Linked DNA regions of Stegostoma tigrinum. The protein of the gene in region 1 binds, or shares a complex with, the protein of each later gene. Links are inferred from orthologs where the notes say so. Each region holds a gene or a part of one and is shown on either strand. Other genes may lie near its edges.

What was found. The genes of interacting proteins can lie anywhere in the genome.
Region 2: lsm11 (region 1) and U7 snRNA-associated Sm-like protein LSm10 share a complex: the UniProt entries of both Homo sapiens proteins name them as parts of the heptameric ring U7 snRNP complex. The link is inferred for Stegostoma tigrinum from reciprocal best matches to the Homo sapiens genes LSM11 and LSM10.

The regions. Positions count from the first base shown.
Region 1 is NC_081366.1:70,407,208-70,418,845, forward strand, and holds the start of lsm11 (U7 snRNA-associated Sm-like protein LSm11), read right to left. Parts: upstream 5,351-11,638; 5' UTR 5,283-5,350; coding exon 4,889-5,282; intron 1-4,888. UniProt on the Homo sapiens protein: Component of the U7 snRNP complex that is involved in the histone 3'-end pre-mRNA processing. Increases U7 snRNA levels but not histone 3'-end pre-mRNA processing activity, when overexpressed. Required for cell cycle progression from G1 to S phases.
Region 2 is NC_081377.1:5,964,714-5,974,083, reverse strand, and holds U7 snRNA-associated Sm-like protein LSm10, read left to right. Parts: upstream 1-6,358; coding exon 6,359-6,724; 3' UTR 6,725-7,034; downstream 7,035-9,370. UniProt on the Homo sapiens protein: Appears to function in the U7 snRNP complex that is involved in histone 3'-end processing. Increases U7 snRNA levels but not histone 3'-end pre-mRNA processing activity, when overexpressed. Required for cell cycle progression from G1 to S phases.

The sequences.
Region 1 (11,638 bases):
TGAAGATTGGGGGCCCTGGCAGAAAACACAGGTTCCGAGACATTGCTCAGGTTTAGGCTGCAGTCACTATATTTGAGAGTAACCTGTAAAAATCACCTGTGAAGTGGTCAGTGCCACAACATGGAGGGCAGAAACACACTAAACCACTAGGGAAAGCTATCAGCGTTCTTTATGAACTTCCACTGAAAGATGTGAAAAGGAGCAATGTGCTCATGAATTGTCAGTCTGTAGACTTACTCATTGAGCAAGCAATCAGAATTGTATCTGAGCTTTATTCTGCCTGTGGAAATAGCAGTGTCACATCAATGAGAGAGGAGTAGAGACACAGCACAGTATTAAAGTGTCAGTAATGTACACTGCACATTACAAAACTTTTATACATACTGATATTTCCTACAGCTGACTAGGCACAAATCTGTTAAATATGCCTTGTGACATCAGCATTGTTTTGTAGGATTTAATTCAATACACACTCGTTTGTTAGCACAGAGCTCGAACGTTACTGAAAGAACATGACACATTTCTAAGCCTTTCATCTCAGGTTAATTCAGAGAAATACCATATATAGCAAACACGATCATTGACAGGTCAGAATATCGTGAAGAGTGGGAGGTCATTTCATCGAATAACCAATCAGCACTCTCTCATGCTGCATATGTGTCAGTTTTGCCCACAAATTGTTCTGGCAAGTGCAGAATGAAACCTTTCGCAGAACATGACTTCTTTTCAACAAAATACAAGCATTATCACCCCAACTGAAGGCAATATTGGACAAGTCAAATTCCAGCAAAAACCCTGGTTTGTTAAAACATAAGCTTTAGTTTTATCATATTGATTATTATGGTGGTCAGTCACTGAACATGTGCACACAAGGCTGTCACTGTACTTTTAGCAATTGAAGTTTATTGCACAAAAAGAAAAAAAGCAAAGCTTAAACAGCAAATGGAATAAGCCATTTTCTCTGCAATATTCTTTATACAGAACCTAAGTGAAGTATCAGTCCTAACTTCACTTTAGCATTTCTTACGGGACTAACAAGATTTTGAGGGATCCGTCTTGGCAGCTTTCTACATATCCACCAGATGTATTTTTTCCAAATCTGTCTCTCCCTGAGACACAGACAGGCTACTACAACAACTCTGCTCTAATTTTCACTAACTTGAGATGGCTAAAACTTCTTAAAATTTCAATCCAGCTGTTGACCTGAAGACATCCAATGGCTAAAATTTACCCTTCTACTGGAATGGTCTTTTCTTCTGAACTCAACCTGCTTTTGGTCCCCAGTCAACTGTCTTTTGTGTAGGTTGTAAAAGTTCCACTGGGCAAACAACCCAGCCGTTATCTCCACTGGCAACTCGCAACATCTAAAGTATGTCACGTGCTTTCTCTCATGTCTCTATTCACTGAATGAAATTACTTTGGTGACCCTTAAGAAAAATCAGAACTTAAAAAGGACTGAAAACCAAAACCTAATTTATCTCATTCTACTTTTGAATCCAAGATCCCAAATATAAGATTACATTTAACATGTTCATCACACATCTCACCAACCATTTCTAATTGGTTTCTCTCAAAATTTCCTCCAATCACCAAATGTATTTTGTGTTAATATATTTACATTAAACACAAGGGTTTTTACAACAACCATGTTCTATACAAGTTCATTCCATTCACGACATTCATTGTTTTTTATATTTGCTATTGACAAAGCAAACTGTGCTTTCACTAATTGGAATTATTTTCAACTTATATGCTTGTCACATTGAACTACAGTGAAAGTCTCAGATTTTGATTTGGAAATCAAACAATCATCATTGAATGATAGAATCCCTACAGTGGGGAAGAAGGCCATTCAGCCGATTGAGTCTGCACCAACCCTCCAAAGAGCATCCCACCCAGATCCACCCCACCTACCTTATCCCTTTGACTCTGTACTTCCAATGGCTAATCCACTTAGTTTGCACATCCTTGGATGATATGGGCAATTCAGCATGGCCAATCCACCTGACCTGCACATCTCTGGACTGTTTGAGGAAACCCGCGCAGACACAGGGAGAATGTGCAAACTCTACAGTCGCCCGAGGGTGGAATCAAACCAGGGGAGCCTGGTGTTGAGGCAGCAGTGCCAACCACTGAGCCACTGTCCTGTCTCCCGGAAATGCTCCAGGAAGATTAGTGGGTTGAGATCTCTATAAATAAATCTGCAGAGTTGTTCACTATTCTATTGTGATTCTAGCTGATGGTTATAATGGACAAGTCAAATTTCAGAATAAATGTGGCTTGATAAGACCGTATATGTTTTTCTTATTTAACATGGCTGTACTTTACTGTAACATAAGCACACAAGTTTTGTTCTTATCAATAAAGTTTATTACACAAATGAGTTCAGAAGAAATAGGTACACAGGATTTGGAGCTAGTTAGGATTTGGTATCGGAGTCTTGGATGATCTCAAGTTTATGAAACACAAAATATGGGGCAGAAGCCAGAAATACAATAGAATGATTAAGTATGAAGGTTTCAAGAACAGAAGACCGGATGTAGGTATGGAAATGAGCAAGGTTACAGAGGTGGAAACAGGTAATCTTTTATACAGTTTAGATACCCACACAGATACATTACTAAAATTGCAGTTTGGTTCAGCCTCAGGTAGTTGCTGAAGAGAATGGTCAAATCAGTGGCAATAACCAAAGAAACTAACACCTAGAGATTTATTTATTACACAGGAGGAAGCAACAGGGATTGAAATGCCTATTTCAGTTCATACGGTCTTAGGCTATCTGGCCCATCATGTTCATGCTAGTGATAAAGTATGCATTCAGTCTAATCCCACTTTCTAGTTTTTGATCCTTGAAGATTACAGTACTTAGTATTTTTTAAACTGTGATGAAGGTCTGTATCTTTGCCATATTTTCAGTCAGTGAATTTAGACATCCCCCATTGCCTAATTCTCAATTCTTGCCATCATCCCCAGAAACAAATCTGCTCGGTGCCCTTTCTGATGTGATTTCATTCTCCCTGTAATGCAGTGACCGGAACTCTATGCAGTACTGCAGCTATGGCCCAACTAGTTTTCTTTTAAACAATGCTCCTATAACTTCCCTACTCTCATAGTCAGTTCTCTGCAAATAAAGGAAGGTATCCCCCAACTACCAATCATATCACCTCTACATTTCCCTTTAAGTCTCTCCTACTATAGGACACTGCTCAAAACCTGCTAGCCTTAAGGGATGTACAGACATGTACCCAAGGATCCTTATTATTCCTCTCCACTTCTCACAGCACCTACACTATTCCCTCTTTTCTGCACTAAGCCTTGAATGTTGTGAGATTTTAACACCTCTATTAAATCTTTCCTTGGCCTTTCTTCCAAAGGAGAACAACACCCGACTTCACCGGTCTCACACAGCACTGGGTATGTTGGTCTTTGTAGCACTTAATATTCAGAAACTCAAAATCATTCATGGATTACACAAGCTACTGCTTTCAAGCTAGCTACATTTTACAGCCAATGTCTGGTGCAAGCCAAACTCTATGTTTTCACTAGCCTTAAACATTTGCAATCTATCTAAATCCACCGTATCTGATCAGGACAACCAAGCTATGGAAAGAAATATGGATTGTTTATGTCAAGAATGCAAATCAAACTGTATGCACCATATCTAATGATAAGGGAAAAGCTTGTGGCTTGCAACTGGATGTTTTTAAACCACTTAGTTTTTTTTTTACAAGGTACATAATGTTAAAATAACATGGAGGTTATGGTGGTAAGATAGAGCTGTGGGTTGTTAGCAGAAATGTCACAACTAACTATATCTTTACTGATGTGTTGTGGAAAAGCAGCACGTAGACGGGAAAAAGGAGGGATCCAAAAATAGATCCCTGGTAACTACACATGAATGGGAATCAAATCCCACTGACAACAATTCTTTAGCTATAATTACGCAAGCAAGAATAGAACCAGGCAAGTGCAGTCACAGACACCTGGCAGCTAACGATGACACATTGGAAGAAGGCTGTAGAAGGGTCGAGAAAATAAATAGTTCACCTTCGTCATAATCACACATGATGCAATCTTTGGACAACAACTGTTTTGATATTTTTCAAAACTCCATTATGAATGAATAAAAAGGAGTTTATATTGCCTTTGAAGCAACTGAGGATTTATTCACAGGGAGTATATTTAATACCTATACTTACTATTTGATGCTTTGTTTGCCAAACATAATAAATTAGGAATTCATAGTACAATGGAATGTAACTGAAATTCTATCATAATCCAGTCCCTCACTCTCCTGTCTAAGGAGCACTTAGAATTACATAAAATGTGAATTGCAAAAGCAGACCCAGCCTGTTCAACTTTTCCGAGATACAAACTGAGTTTCAGTACCATCTGTATCAATCCAACTTTTAATGCCTTGCCCACTGCCTCTAGATTTTTTTTTAAAAGTACGATTAAACTACAAATGCCATGTGCAGCCAATGTTCCACAAACCTTTAATATAACTTTATATTCTGAGGAAGGGTCACTGGACCCAAAATGTTCACTCTGATTTATCTCAGCAGATGCTGCCAGACCTGCTGGGCTTTTCCAGCAACTTCTGTTTTTAATGTAACTTTGCTTTTCGGCCTTACTCTTGAAATGAGCCAATTTTGGATCATTAACTGGTTTCGTTGACCCCTAACCTTGATCTTAATTTGAGAACTTCAGCCCCTAGATCCCCTTGCTCCTTTTGATAAGTTTGGGCTCCTTTTCCAACTTGATTCCGTGATTCCACCCACCAAAAGCTGCAACCTCAAGGCGGAACCTTTATAACTCCAGATATATGCAGCATGTACGCTGCAAATATCGCTCACGGCCCTCTCCATCCCCGGGCTCAGTTACTCACGGGACATCCTGGTCAGCACATTTTTCGGGGCCCGCTCCCTCCTGAGGGGCCTGGGCCTGTCGTCGCTGCTCTGCTCGGCCACCATCAGCTTCTTGAGGCGCTCGATCCTGTCGGGGTCCGGGGGAGGCCAGGCGGCATTGCGGCGGCGCCCGCGGGCCCTGTGGCAGCCGGGGGCCTGGGCCTGGGCCGGGTCCCCGGGCTCCTGCTGCTGCCGCCGCCTCAGGAAGCTCTGGTACTCGGCAATGTTGTTGAAGGTGCGGACGTTGGGGAAAGGCAGCGGCGGCGGCAGTCTGCTGTACAGCGCCAAGTACGGGTCAAAACGCGGAGAGCTGACATTCAGCCGCCCGGCCTCGTCCTCCTCCGGCCCGGGCTCTGAGCTCTCGGTCTCCGCCATTTCCCAGTGGCTCGCTCTCTCCCCGCCGCTAAGATAGCGTACTTTAACTGGCCGCCATCTTGGGTCCACTCGCGCTGGGCATTATGGGACGGAAACGAAAAGCTGGAGAAAGGCGGCAGCGGTTGTGAAGCATGCGGGTGTTCTTGTGTCACGCTCGACTCAAAACGTTAACTCTCTTCCCCTGTCCATAGATACTGTCAGATTTGATGAGATTTTCCATCACTCTATTGAGTATTAAAACAGATCCATTGGTCCAACTTGTCTATGCCAACCAAGTTTCCCAAACTGTCCCAGTTGCCTGATTTTAGCCTTTCCTGTACATATCACTATCCAGATTCCTTTATGTGCATCTACAACTTCCTCTTTCGATTTCCAGAACCTGCAGTATTTTGCTTTTATCCGAGCATTGTGTGACCTTCTCCACCTCAAACCAGGATTTGTCTTTCAGACAGCACCTCGCAGCAAGTCCCAAAGTGACTACCCTCGCGGACTTTCCTTTCCAAAACAAAATAAAATCAAATGGGCTGTCACTGTTGCCCGGAAAGGCCACTGCCAATCTGAACAAAGCACCAACTCACAGACCAGGCCACATACTTTGTTACTTTGGAACCATGCTGGGGATCGGATTAATAAATGTTCAGAGACTGTCTCTGATCTTCACATAGGCTCACATGAACCTTTGATATTGACCTGAGGATAGATGGAGCCTCAGTGTATTCAGAAGATGGCTTCCCAGACTCTAGACTGAATGTCAAACAAGACTAGGTGCTCAAATTTCAAAGTAGGTCTTGAATCCATCATCTCTTGCCACAAAACCAATAGAACAAATCCCAAACAGTTTGATTGTATCTTGAATTTACATAACACCCTTGTTCAAAACCCATCAAAGCTCCTCATAGTTAATTAGCTTTTTTTTTCCAATTGCAGTCACTATCTTGCAGTAGCCAATTTGCGCATAGAAAGATGTCTAACTGGTAACAGCCAAATCACAAGAAACCCTCAGACCCACTCAAAATAAATTATGAGATACACATATTTTAAAAATTATTACAATCCACCTTTCCCGGCCCCAAAAGCTATTGATTCACAATATAAGGTCACACTTACTACAAGGAAGGTGTCCAGTTAGTTACTTAAATAAAAACAAAATGCTGGAAATACTCAGCACGTCTAGAGACACCTGTTGAGAGGGAAGCAGAGTTAACAGAGAGTTCGGTCTGATTTCAGAAGAAGTCATTTCGACTCAGAGTATCCAAGAATAGACCTAACACCTGCCACATGTAGATTAATGATGACAATGTGAATTAAGTTTTTTTTAAAACTCACGTTGGGTCCTTCATCTCTTTCTGCAGACCCAGTCTAGCAGCAATGTCCTTTAAGTCTCAGCCAATAGTGTTGCTATTGATCGGTTCTTGGTGATGAACACTGAAGTCTCCTGGTGTCCTCAAAGTAGTGTTTAACGTGGAGGAGTATTTGTTCCTCAGCTAAGTGGCAGTAAATGGTACATTAACAGCATGTTTCCTTGCCCATGTTTGACCCAATGCTACGAGATCTGGACTCAGCATTGATGTTGTCCAGGGCAACTCCCAATTATATAATATTGTTCCACCACAGCTGATAGGATACTACATTCCCAGGGTTGGAAGTGATGGTGTCTGGCACATAATCATGGAATTATACCTTACAGATAATGGCCACCTGTTGCATGATAAGGGTGTGGGAGACCTCACCCAATTTCAATCCACCCTTCCAGATCTTAAGGAAAACTTTGCAGGATTGACAGAGCTGAGCTTATGATTGTTGGTTTAGTGCCTAGATTGACGTAGGAAGTGTGTTTGAATAATTCACTTGTTTAAACTTTATAATGACTTGATATAACTGAGAGCCTTGCTAGGCCATTTCAAACGGCAGTTAAGGATCAATCACATTGCTGTGGATCTGAAGTCACATGCAAGTCAGACAAGGAAAAGATAGATCTCCTACAGAAGAATTTCCCTTCTTACAAACTGAAGTCATTCTTGAGAAGAGTATCTGGCTAGAGCGATATTCCTCCAGATGTTGAATAGAGGCAGTCACCTTGTTGCAGCATATGTGATTACAAGCAATGCCAACTGTATGTACAACTCTCCTGTGAATAATTTATGTTGCCTTTCACTCCTCCAGGCTGAAGCCTCTTCCAGCATATTCTTCCGTGTGATAACTGACAGTGGGACACCTAACAAATGGTCAAAGGGGGCCAGTAACTCGGCATACTTTAGTCTATTCTGCTTTACACCTGTGAATTTTTCTGGTTGGCTGATTGAACCAAGTCCAACTATTATTTGCCAGTCCTCGTACAAATGAGGTGTCAGAATCATTCCACTTTGACTTGGAGCCTGGTTGTATATCGAAGGACTGAAACCCTCCTAGAGGAAGTTGGCTACTTTAGTTCATAAGAAAGGAGATTCTTCTGCAGAAGAATCTCCTTACAAGTGGCAACTCAGCTAACTGAACCAGTTATGCCAATCAAAAATATATATAGAATATATACAAAACAGGAGAAAGCCTAGGTGATCTCAGATCTTTGAAGAACTTCAAGGTTTCTGTAAGCCTCTGTATGGATTGTGCCAATGCCTGTTTGTTTGGAATCTTGCAAGGAGAGCAAAGGAAGCAGCAGAATCAGTCTTAAACAAAAACTAAAATATCTGGGACTGTTCAATAAATAAACTTCCTTTTGGGAAGGAGATTTTTTTTAAAAATGTGTTAAGTGAATCAGATGGGATTTTATGATATTCATCAATTGTTACATGGTTGTCAATATACTCACTTTTAATTCCAAATCTCTTTTTAATTTACGTATTGCTTTCTATGACAAAGGAATGTGAACTCACATTGCCAGAAAATGAACTTCAATTTATGGATTGATAGTCCAGTGATATAACCATAATGATCTCATTAAAACTTACACAATTGTTACAAGATGGACGGAGACAAGATGTTTCCCTGACTGGGAGTCTAAAAACCATGGACATAATATGAGGAAAAGGCATCTAAGACTAAGATGAGGAGGAATTTCTTCAAACAGAAGATGGTGAATATTTGAAATTCTCTACTCCTGTTTAGGGCTAGAACCACAAAAGTTTGTGAAACCTAATCCTTATGAACAGAAATCAAGCACATGAATTGAAAATAAGTTACCCAGCACAAATTCAATTCCCTTGCCAGCTAGGCAATTCCTCTTCCCAAATTTTGTCTGTGGCCCAACCAGGCTGCTCACAACGTTGGTATCCTACCTGAACTCACGTGAGCTTCAGTCTTTCCTCTCCCATCACCAAGTCGTCCAACTCCATAAGAGTACCTGACTCTACGCCTATCCTAGATCTTCCACTGCTGAAATCCTCAATGTCTTTGATACTACTTAGACCTGACTGTTCTAATGCTGTCCTGGCTGGTCCTTTACTTTGCACCATCTGTATGCTCAAATTTGCCCAGAACTCTGCCATCCATAACTAAACCCACAACAATTCCTGTCACCCATTCTATTATCACTGGTCCACCTTAGAATCCATCTAGAAATATGACATGGTAATTTTAAATCAAGTCTCTTGAGGACATTGCTGTATAAAGACTTCGGGACTCTGCAGCAATCTTGTGATAACGTCATAGAAGCACACTGAGCATAAATAGCACTGGTGAGTGGAGTTAGAAAACACAAGGTTAGAACTCTAGGCAGAAAGAATAAAGCACTAGACATGAACATACAAAGACAGTTACATTCATTACAGGCTAATCTAAGTCAAGTAGTATTTAATAAAAGTACACTGAAATGTTCATTTGAAGTCGAAGGCTGAGCAATACTTGACTTTTTCTTCTCCTCAATTAGTCTATCCCTAACCCAAACTCAGTGTGGCATAAGACTGCATCATAAAAGGGATCTAGGAAGCAGGACTGAAAGAAAGGAGAACAAGTAGATGCAGTGTATTTGAAGTTCCAAAATGGAATTCAAGAAGGTGCCAGGTAAGAACATAGGAGAAGGCCATTCTGCCCCTTGAAATGTGCTCCTAGGTATTGGCTAATGATTAATGCCATTTTCCAACACTATCCCCATTTCCTTAATGGCATTAGTAATTAGAAAAAACTGTCATTGAGGTTGGTTGGCTGGTTTGTTGTTCCGCAGACATTTTGTTACCATGCTTGGTAACATCCTCAATGCAGCCTCTGACAAAGCATTGTTTTTCCGCCTGGTTTTTAAACTCTGGGGTCCATTATGACAGACATTTAAAAACCAGGCGGGAAAATACACCAATTCTTCAGAGGCTGCACTGCGGATGTTACCAAGCACTGTAACAAAACATCTGCGGAACAACAAACCAAATCAACCTCAGCACCCACAACCTGAGCTACAGATCTACTCCAAAACCTTAGGAGAAAACTGTCACTTACTAGCTTGAAAGTGATTTAGCTTCCACCGCCCTTTGGGGTAGAGAATCCCAAAGGTTCACCTCTGTCTGAATGAAGATTTCTTTCTTCATCTTAGTCCTAAATGACCCCTGTTCCTAGATGTCTTATCTGCATTGAGTTCATCTATCCCTTAAGGAATTTTGCATTTTTCCAAGATCGCCTCTCATTCTTCAGAACACTACAGGCCCAGGATCTTCAATCTCACCTCATAGGAAAGTTCCACCATCCCAGAAATCAGTTTAGTCAAAATGCAACTGAGTTCACAAATATATCCTCCATGAAGCAAAGTGACCAGAGCTTCATTCAGTACCCCAGGTGTGATTCACCAGTGATCCATACAAATTAAGAGAGATTTATTTGCTCCTGCACTCAGAACATTATAAAATTGGTACACAGGGGAGGCAATGACCTAGTGGTCTAATCAGTAGGCTATTAATCCAGAAACTCAGCTAACATTCTAGGAAATCAGGTTTGAATCTGACCATGGCAATTGGTGGACCTTAAATTCAATTTTTAAAAATCCAGAATTAAGAATCCGCTGATGGACATGGAACCATTGCAGATTGTCAGGAAAACCCATCTGGCTCACTAATGCCCTTCAGGGAAGGAAATCTGTTACCTCCCAGTTGCCCTCTAAAGTGGCTTGTGTGTGTGCAGGAGGGTGGTGCAGAGGAGGTTCACTAGGTTGATTCCAGAGTTGAGGGGGTTACATGAGGAGAGATTGAGTAGACAGAACAGACACATTGGAATTTTACACAAATGAGGAGGGGATCTTATAGAAACATAAAATTGTCAGAAATAGATAAGTTAGAAGCAGGAAGGTTGTTTCCACTGCGGGGGGGGGGGGGGGGGGTGAAATTAGAAGCAGGGGACAGAGTCTCAATATAAGGGGGCTGGAGGGGAAAGAGGAGATTGGAGGTCCCTTACCAAGAGTGGCTCAGCAGCAGCAGCAACAGCACTACTGGTCTGATCATAAAGAACATAGCTGCTGGACGGGGTTTGCAGCTGGTGCAGGACTAAAGATGGAAAAACATAGTTGACCTCTTCCTTATCAATCTGCCTGCTGCACATGGAACTGTCCATGACAGAATTGGTAAGAGTGACCACTGCAGAGTCCTTGTGGAGACAAAGTGTTGCCTTCACATTGAGAATATCCTCCATTGTGTTGCGTGGCACTGTAACCGAGCTAAACGGGACACACTGCACGCAGATCAAGCAACTCAAGGCTGGACATTTATGAAGCACTGTGGATCATCCAACAAGAACAGTTGTACTCCAGCACAATCTGCAACCTCACAGATTGCCCTATCTCCTACCCAGCCAGTAGATTACCACCTTGTCAATCTACTCTCAAATCAAGGAAACATTGGAAAACAGTGCTATCAAGCAGCACCTACTCAGCAATAACCTACTAACTGAAGCCCAGTTTGGGCTCTGCCAGACCCACTTAACTCCTGACCTCCTGGTTCAAACATGGACAAAACAACTGGGCTCCAGAGATCAGGTGAGAGTTGACATACCTTGACATCAAAACTACATTCAACTAAATGTGGGATCAAGGAGTCAGAGCAAAACAGGAATCAATACATATTCGGGGGAAATTCTCTGCTGGTTGGAGTCATACTTGGCACGTAGAATGACTGTTGTGCTTGTTGGAGATCAATTATCTCAGCTTCAGGACATCTCTGCAGGAGTTCCTGAGTGTTGTGTCTCAGAACCCACATATTCAATGGTGTTCCCATTACTGAAACCCCCACTATCAACATCTTTGGGGTTATGATTTACCAGAAACTCAACTAGACTCGCGAAATAAGCACAGTGGCCACAGTAGCAGGTCAGAGACTAGGAATACTGAGTGACTAACTCACCTCATGGTTCCCCAAAACTCATCCAGCATCTAGAAGACTCAAGTCAGA
Region 2 (9,370 bases), on another chromosome or scaffold:
GAGCACTCCCTCTTCCACTGTTACATTGGCACTATACCCCATCTCTTCCTCTGCTACATTGATGACTATCAGCACTGCCTCGTGCTCCCACGAGGTGCTTGAACAGTTCATCAACTTTACTAACACCTTTCACCTCAACCTCAAGTTCACCTGGACCATTCTGATACCTCTCCCTCCTTCCTGGTCCCCTCTGTCTCCACCTCTGGTGACCGCTTCAAACCTGACATCTATTTCAAGACTTCTACAGCTACCTAGGCTACACCTCCTCTCACCTACCTTCCCCAATCCCACCCCTCCTTTTTATTTATTTCTGAGCTCCGTTCCTCTCCTCACCATCTTTGAGAAAGGGTCCTGACCAGAGATGTCAACATTTCTGCTCCTCTGATGCCTGGCCTGCTGTGCTCCTCCAGCTCCACACTATTGTCTATAATACTGCAAAGTTGTTGGCTGATCAACCCCTACAAGATATGGCATCTAAAACTGAACACCTATCAATCCAGTGTCACCCTTGACAAACCCTCGCCTAACAAGCAACACTTTATGAAAACTGCAGAAGAAAATTAAAACCTGCTGTAACCTCAGTTCTGATGTGCCTCAAGGGGGGCCACAGGCCAGGACCCTAGGGACATCTTTAGTTACTGAGCAATAATGAAACATATGCATTTATTTTGAATAGTTTTCTCATTTGTATGATATTTTGCATGCCTGTATCTGACCTACAAACAATGTTTCCACTTGCAACATTCAGACTTATTACGTCCTTAGGTGTGCTAATACCCAGCTCTACTTCAATACCAGGTTTCCCACTGCCTGTCTCTGATGTCTCACGCTACTTGTCAGACTTCAGCAGAAAGTTCTTCCAAGTAAAAATTTGGAAACTGAAGCCATTGTTTTCCTTCCTTGTTACAATTTCAGTTGTTTTGCCACTGAATCAGTCCATTCTCTGGCAACTATTGAAGCATAATTCAGTTTCACAACCTTAGTATCACAGGTAATTCTAAAAGAGTTTCCATGAGCATATTCATTTCATCAATAAAGCCTTTTTAGTTGGCCAACATAATATCTAATATGCTGCCACAAGTTAGTTTTGATAATTCTCTGAAGATTCTAGGATTTTGGGGTGGTGCTGGAAGACTGGAAAATTACAAATATCACGCCTTGTTTAATAAAGAACATCAACCTGGATCCAGCAATTACAGACCAGCCAGTTTAATTCAGATGGTGGGGGAGCTTCAAGAAACAATTATTCAGGATTTGATTGTCAGTCACAGTTTAAAAAAAGGTTAATTTGGGAGAATCATCGTGGATTTGATGAATGAATATTGTGTGTAACAAACTCTTTGGAGTTTTTTGAAGAGGTAATAGAGTAGACATAGTGTGCGTGAACTCCCAGAAGCTATTCAATACTTTTTAGGTATGTCTGATGCTGCTCCCTAACATGGCCTCTTCTGTCTCCGTTGAACTTGTCTTGATGGTAATGGATGAGTGGGGATATGCTGGGAAATGCTGGACCATGAGGTTGCATATTTACTGGGGTATAATTCTGCTGCTGTTGATGGTTCACAGTGCCTCATGAATGCTCAGTGTTGAGTTGCTGGATCTGATATTTTGGACCAGCTGTATGGAACAAAGCTGTGGAACTGTGCGTATTGTCAATATGGCATTCTCTCAGAATTCTGATTTCTGCATCACTATGAATTCTTACAAAAGTTATTCATCATACCCTAGATTTTGCTACAAACAAACAATATTAACAATGTGTATTAAGTTTATTCATTTGACTTTGAATAGAACGTAGCCTATTTTCTCTGATATTGTAAGGTTTTGGTAATTTTGAAAAAAGAACCAATGAACTGCAGATGTTGGAAATCAGTAATAAAATCAGAAATTGCTGGGGGGGGGTGTAAAATCAGCAGGTCTGGCAGCTTCTGTGGAGAGAAAGCAGAGTTAATGTTTCAGATCCAGTGATCCTTTTTCAGAACTGCTTTTGGCTTGGAAAAGGCTAGTATATACAGTAGGAGACAGTAGGAACTGTCGATGCTGGGGTCTGAGTTAACAAGGTGCAGAGCTGGTTGAACACAGCAGCCAGGCAGCATCAGAGGAGCAGGAAAGCTGATGTTTCGCGTCTGGACCCTTCTTCAGAAATTTATCACAGTGCCAGGGAGCCGGGTTCGATCCCACCATCGGGCGTCTGTCTGTGTGGAGATTTTGCATTCTCCCCATGTCTGCTTGGGTTTCCTCTGGGGTGCTCCAGTTTCCTCCCACAGTCCAAAGATGTAGGGGCTAGGTGGATTGGCCATGCTAAATTGCCTGTAGTGTTCAGGGATGGGTAGATTAGATGGATCTTACGGGGATGGATCTGGGTGGGATAGTCTGAGGGTTGGTGTGAACTTATTGGGCCAAAGGGCCTGTTTCCAAACTGTAGGGATTTGATGATGATGATTACTACCTGAATGGCTATAAATTAGGAGAGGAGAATGTGAAGTGGGACCGGGCTGTCCTTGTCCACCAGATGAATTCAAGTGATAGACATAGGACTGGGGAGAAAGCAGGATTAGGTTATTGAGTTGGTTGATTAGCCATTGATCGTGATGAATGGTAGAGCAAGCTTGAAGAACCGTATAGCCTCCTCCTGCTCGATTTATTGTGACATGTAACGAAATACAGTGAAAAGCTTTGTTTACAAATGGTACAGGCAGTTCAGAGCAAGCAAAGGATGTATAGATCAAAAAGACTTAGAGGCATATAGGTTATGTTATTTGCGGTTAGAGTCCATTCAACAGTCTGATAATGGCCAGAAAGAAGCCGTTCCTCAACCTGCATGTGCATGTATTCAGGCTTTTGTATCTTCTGCCTAACGGAAGAGATCATAGGAGATCATTACCAGCATGCGATGGATCTTTGCTGATAACAAAGTGAGGAGCTGGATGAACACAGCAGGCCAAGCAGCATCTCAGGAGCACAAAAGCTGACGTTTCGGGCCTAGACCCTTCATCAGAGCTGAGATGCTGCTTGGCCTGCTGTGTTCATCCAGCTCCACACTTTGTTCCTGAGATGCTGCTTGGCCTGCTGTGTTCATCCAGTTCCACACTTTGTTATCTTGGATTCTCTAGCATCTGCAGTTCCCATTATCTCGGATCTTTGCTGATGTTGGCTGCCTTTCTGCAGTAGTGAGATGTGTAAGTAGAATCCCTGGATGCAAGATTAGCTTCTGTGATGGGCTGGGCTGTGCACACCACTTTCTCTAGTTGTGTACAGTCCTGGGCAGAGCAGTTGCCATACTGGGCTATTATGCACCCAAACGGTATGTTTTCAACAGTACAACTGTAGAAATTGGTGAGGGATCTTATGGTAATATCAAATTTCCTGAGCTGCCTGAGGAAGAAGAAGCATTGTTGTACCTTATTGACTATTGCATTTGTGTAGGAAGTCCAGGGCAGGTTGTCAGTTATTGTCATACTGAGGAAACTTGATGCTCTTCACCCTCCTAACCTCAGCTCTGTTCATGTAGATAGGGGCATGTATCTTCTGTTTCTGTTTGTGGTAGCACCCCATGTGTAAATTAGGTCTGGTGTCTAAAGACATGGGAGAAAATTGAACTCGATATGGAGTCGTAAAAGCTGCAGGAAAAATGAGATGCTGCAACATACGTCCATTTTAACACTAATTAACACCACGTTTGGCCTTCATTTAGAATAGAATCCCTACCAACACTGGAAAGAACAGATGAAGTTTTGCTCGAAATCGATCGAATGGTCTACGTTTTCTTGGTTTCCTTCCTATGGGTTATATCTCCCTCATTACGACTACCCCGATACCACATTCTGATACAAATAGCCCGGACTAGGAACTGAGTCACGTGCTCTCACTTCCGAGCACAAGGCCCATTGCGTCACTGGAGCGGGCCGATACCGACGCACAATTCCGGTTCATGCCCCGCCCACAGCCCCGAAACGGAAGTTGCCGTTACCAGGGAGACGCGGCCTTCTCAGTGGGGTTGCCGACGGCGAAGGGTGAGTGACTCAACGGAGAATCGATCCTGTCCGGCCCGAGGGCTCATCGGCAATCCCAACTTTGAGGGTGCGGGCTGTCCACTGCCTCCGTCCCCGGGACACCAGTGTCCACTTAGGGAACAGCGTCCATGGTTTGACCAACCCTTCGGGAGATCCGTGTCCACTCGCTGTCTGTTAGTGAATGGGATGAATGACCATAATTGGGTCCCTTAAGGATCAACGCAGATAGAGACCAACTGCCTTTGGAAATCAGCAAGTGGCAGATTACCTAAATAATGATGAGGGTGACTCATCATGATGCTCAGCTTGTGTTCACGATGTGAAGATGCCGGTGCAGGACTGGGGTGGACAAGGTCAGAATTCACACAACACAGGTTATAATCCAACAGGTTTATTATAAATCACAAGCTTCCGGCGCAGCAGCAGGTAACGCCTGCAAAGGGGCAAGACTCAGAAATGCTTGTGATTTCACATAAACCTGTTGGACTATAACCCGGTGTCGTGTGAATTCTCATTGTACTAATCTAGGAGCCTAGTGGAAGGCACAATCATTTTGAATTAGAGGTTCCTTCTTCCGCACCTACACAGGCCCCAAACCCCACTTCCTCCGGTACATTGATGACTGTATCGGTGCCACCTCTTGCTCCCCAGAGGAGCTCGAACAGTTCATCCACTTCACCAACATCTTCCACCCCAACCTTCAGTTCACCTGGGCCATCTCCAGCACATCCCTCACCTCCCTGGACCTCTCAGTCTCCATCTCAGGCAACCAGCTTGTAACTGATGTCCATTTCAAGCCCACCGACTCCCACAGCTACCTAGAATACACCTCCTCCCACCCACCCTCCTGCAAAAATTCCATCCCCTATTCCCAATTCCTCCGCCTCCGCCGCATCTGCTCCCACGATAAGACATTCCACTCCCGCACATCCCAGATGTCCAAGTTCTTTAAGGACCGCAACTTTCCCCCCACAGTGATCGAGAACGCCCTTGACCGCGTCTCCCGTATTTCCCGCAACACATCCCTCACACCCCGCCCCTGCCACAACCGCCCCAAGAGGATCCCCCTCGTTCTCACACACCACCCTACCAACCTCTGGATACAACGCATTATCCTCCGACACTTCCGCCATTTACAATCCGACCCCACCACCCAAGACATTTTTCCATCCCCTCCCCTGTCTGCTTTCCGGAGAGACCACTCTCTCCGTGACTCCCTTGTTCGCTCCACACTGCCCTCCAACCCCACCACACCCGGCACCTTCCCCTGCAACCGCAAGAAATGCTACACTTGTCCCCACACCTCCTCCCTCACCCCCATCCCAGGCCCCAAGATGACATTCCACATTAAGCAGAGGTTCACCTGCACATCTGCCAATGTGGTATACCGCATCCACTGTACCCGGTGCGGCTTCCTCTACATTGGGGAAACCAAGCGGAGGCTTGGGGACCGCTTTGCAGAACACCTCCACTCAGTTCGCAACAAACAACTGCACCTCCCAGTCGCAAACCATTTCCACTCCCCCTCCCATTCTCTAGATGACATGTCCATCATGGGCCTCCTGCACTGCCACAATGATGCCACCCGAAGGTTGCAGGAACAGCAACTCATATTCCGCCTGGGAACCCTGCAGCCATATGGTATCAATGTGGACTTCACCAGTTTCAAAATCTCCCCTTCCCCTACTGCATCCCTAAACCAGCCCAGTTCGTCCCCTCCCCCCACTGCACCACACAACCAGCCCAGCTCTTCCCCCCCTACCCACTGCATCCCAAAACCAGTCCAACCTGTCTCTGCCTCCCTAACCGGTTCTTCCTCTCACCCATCCCTTCCTCCCACCCCAAGCCGCACCCCCATCTACCTACTAACCTCATCCCACCTCCTTGACCTGTCCGTCTCCCCTGGACTGACCTATCCCCTCCCTACCTCCCCACCTACACTCTCTCCACCTATCTTCTTTACTCTCCATCTTCGGTCCGCCTCCCCCTCTCTCCCTATTTATTCCAGTTCCCTCTCCCCATCCCCCTCTCTGATGAAGGGTCTAGGCCCGAAACGTCAGCTTTTGTGCTCCTGAGATGCCGCTTGGCCTGCTGTGTTCATCCAGCCTCACATTTTACAATCATTTTGAACATGTGCACGAGCTGGGGGAAGTGACAGTGATCACCCTTGACATCAAGGCAGAATTTGACCACTGATGCGACCTGACAAAATTGAAATTAATGTGTTTTAGATGAAAACTATCCACATGATCTGTTTCTTTTTTTCCATGCAGTTCTACCAGCTGGAGGGACTGTTAGGTCTGGTACTCGTCTTTCAACTGATTCAGAGTTTGTGAGCCAGCATTATGGCATTGAGCCATTCTATTAAAGAACGAACAATTGCAGAGAACAGCCTCATCATCCTTCTCCAGGGGATACATAACCACGTTACCACTGTGGAGCTTAAAGACGAGAGCTCAGTGAGGGGACGCTTTGTGAATGTTGATGCATTCATGAACATCCGGCTAGCTGAAGTTATATACACTGACAGACAGGGCAGAGTGTCAAACCTGGATGACTTCTTTGTGACTGGCAGAAATGTACGTTACGTTCACATCCCAGATGAGATTGATATAATTGAGACTGTCCAGAACCAACTGCAGAAAATCCACCGAGTGCGTAACTTTGGAGGAAAAGATCGAGGGAGGAGAGAATTTCCATCAAGAAAGTAGCAATGTGCTGATCCTGAGATGTGCTATCAAAACTTGGTGATGCATATGGGGGAAATAAAGGACAAGATCAGAACTCAGTGATGTTGGGGTTTGTATCAGGACAGTGCAGTCTTTAGGATTTCTGAGGACTGGATGGTGTTTGGGTGGGGGTTATAAGGACTGTGTGCTGTTTGAGAGACTGATCATCAGGACTAAGTGGTGTGTGCAGGGCTAAATACCATGGCTGTATGGTGTTTGGGGCTGTGTGTGTAAATATTATGACTGTGCATTGTTTGCAAAGGCTGGTGTGTTGGCTGTCTGAACTTGATGTTTTGGGGAGGGTGGGTGGGTATCTGAACTGGATTTTTTTTTCAGGGGGATGGATAGCCAGACTGGTGTTTGGAGAGAGTGTTTATTTAGGCTAGAGAGTGGGCATCTGATTGGGGAGTATTGGGCAGTGGTTGGGTAGATAATTGGACTGGGTGGCGGTGTGGAGTGTGGCGATCAGGACTGGCTGGTATTTGGGGGTGAGGCTGGAGTGGTGTTTGGGCACAGGATATTAGGGATCACTGGAGAATGGGACTGATCAGTGTGGCTGTGGATTTGTATGCCTGCCCAATTGGTCTGGTAAGACTGGCAGCAATCCTTATCGCCATGTTGTAAAGTTATACTTTCACACTCCACTGAAAAATGTGTGGGCCAGTTGTATTCTAGAACAGCACTAAGGGACACTTGTGGGCATTGTTGGATTTGCCATCTTACCACAGTATCAACTGTTTCAGTGGTTAACGTGACAGTACAGCTCCATTGGCAGTTTTGGAAGAATGGAAATTAATTTTAGCTTGGGATCTTGCTGTGTTGTACAGCTGCTGCATCCCAAAACAGTTCAGTGACGTGCACTTCACATTCCTTGTATTTCTTCATAGTTGAAGTATTCTAAGTTTTCTTTTAGATGTGGAAGGATGATATACAAATACAAGTTCTATCTCTATCTCAAACACTGCTGCTGTGTTTATGTCTGTGCTCCTAATAGATGATTGGATAATTCAGTTAGATTTCCTGAAACACTTGAGAATCCATGCTGCCATATCCATGGTTTCTGTCTGCCTGTTGTGTAGATCAGCAGGATCCCTGTGTATTTGAATCAAACACTGACAATAATGAATGATGGTTAGTATTGTCACTGGTCTGTCTCCTCTCCAAGCAGTGCTTTGTAAATAGAATGAACGGCAGAAGAAAATGCTCCCATCATGTGTCAGTTACTCCGTTGCAGTCATTACCATTATACTACAGGCAAATCATACCCATACTGACAATTCAATACAATGATATGCTTGAATGAATATCTTCTTTTAACATTGATGCCCCCATAAGTGAATAGATTGTCCATGTGTGTCTCCCCTTAGGTCACATGGTAGGGAACCCAATCCAGAGTTTGTGTTGGCAAGGACAGAGTCTTAAGTGTTTGTCATAGGTGTGGTCATTTAATTCAGCTGATAGCAAGCACTTCTAAACCAGTGACCGTGCTGAGCAAACATAACAATTTTGTAGTCACTGTACATACTTGAAGCTCAACACAAATTTATATCATTCTTTTCTCATTCTCTCTCCCCTCAAAAAGGGTGATTTTGTTTGGAGGTAGTTCAGTGATGACTTGGATTTTGGGTTATGTGGGGCAGGAAGCTCTCCTGCTCAGCAGAGGGAAAGGCATCTTTCTCCAACTGGACTCGAGTCAGTGTCTGGCGTTTTAAGAGTAAATTTTACAAGTTATGCTGGAGATGTTCACACTAGTTGGGTGCATTTTCAGTTAGTGCAGAACTAGCCTTTCTTATTCATCCCTAAATTGTTAACAAGGCTAGTATTTATTGTTGATTTCTAATTTCCCTTGAGAAAGTGCTGGTCAGCAACTGTATGGATCTCAAGTTAGTTGTACTGACACTGCTATTACACCATTACGTCATTCAGGCCATTGAGTCTGCTCTACTATTCAATCAGAGCTGGTATCATTCTCGTCCCATTCTCCTGCCTTCTTTCCATAATCCTTGATTCCCTTACTAATCAAGAACCTATCTATGTCTGTCTGAAATATATTCAATAACTTGGCCTCACAGCCTTTTGTGGCAGTGAGTTCCACAGATTAACCACCCTCTGGCTGAAGTAATTCCTCCTTGTGTCAATCCTAAGTCATTATCTTCGCTCTGAGGCTGTTCCCTTGGATCCTATTCTCTTCCACAAGTGAAAACATCCTCTCCACATCCACTCTATCCAGGCCTTTCAATATTCTGTAAGCTTCAATAAGATTTCGAACCTGTCCTCATATGATTCCTGGGATCATTCTCATAACCTTCTCTGGACCGTCTCCAAAACCAGCACATTTTTCCATAGATATGAGGCCCAAAACTTCTCTCAATATTCCAAATGCAGTCTGACCCAAGCCTTATATACTGTTAATAGTACATCATTGCTGTTGAACCTATGTGTTAACCTAGAGAATCCTAACTAGGACTCTCAATCCCTTTGAGCTGCAGATTTCTTAAGTCTTTACCTGTTTAGAAAATAGTTTATGCCTCTATTCTTGGTATCAAATGCATAAGTGCACATTCCCACATTGTATTCCATCATTCCACTTTGCCCACTCTTCTAGCCTGTTCAAGTTCTTCTGCAACT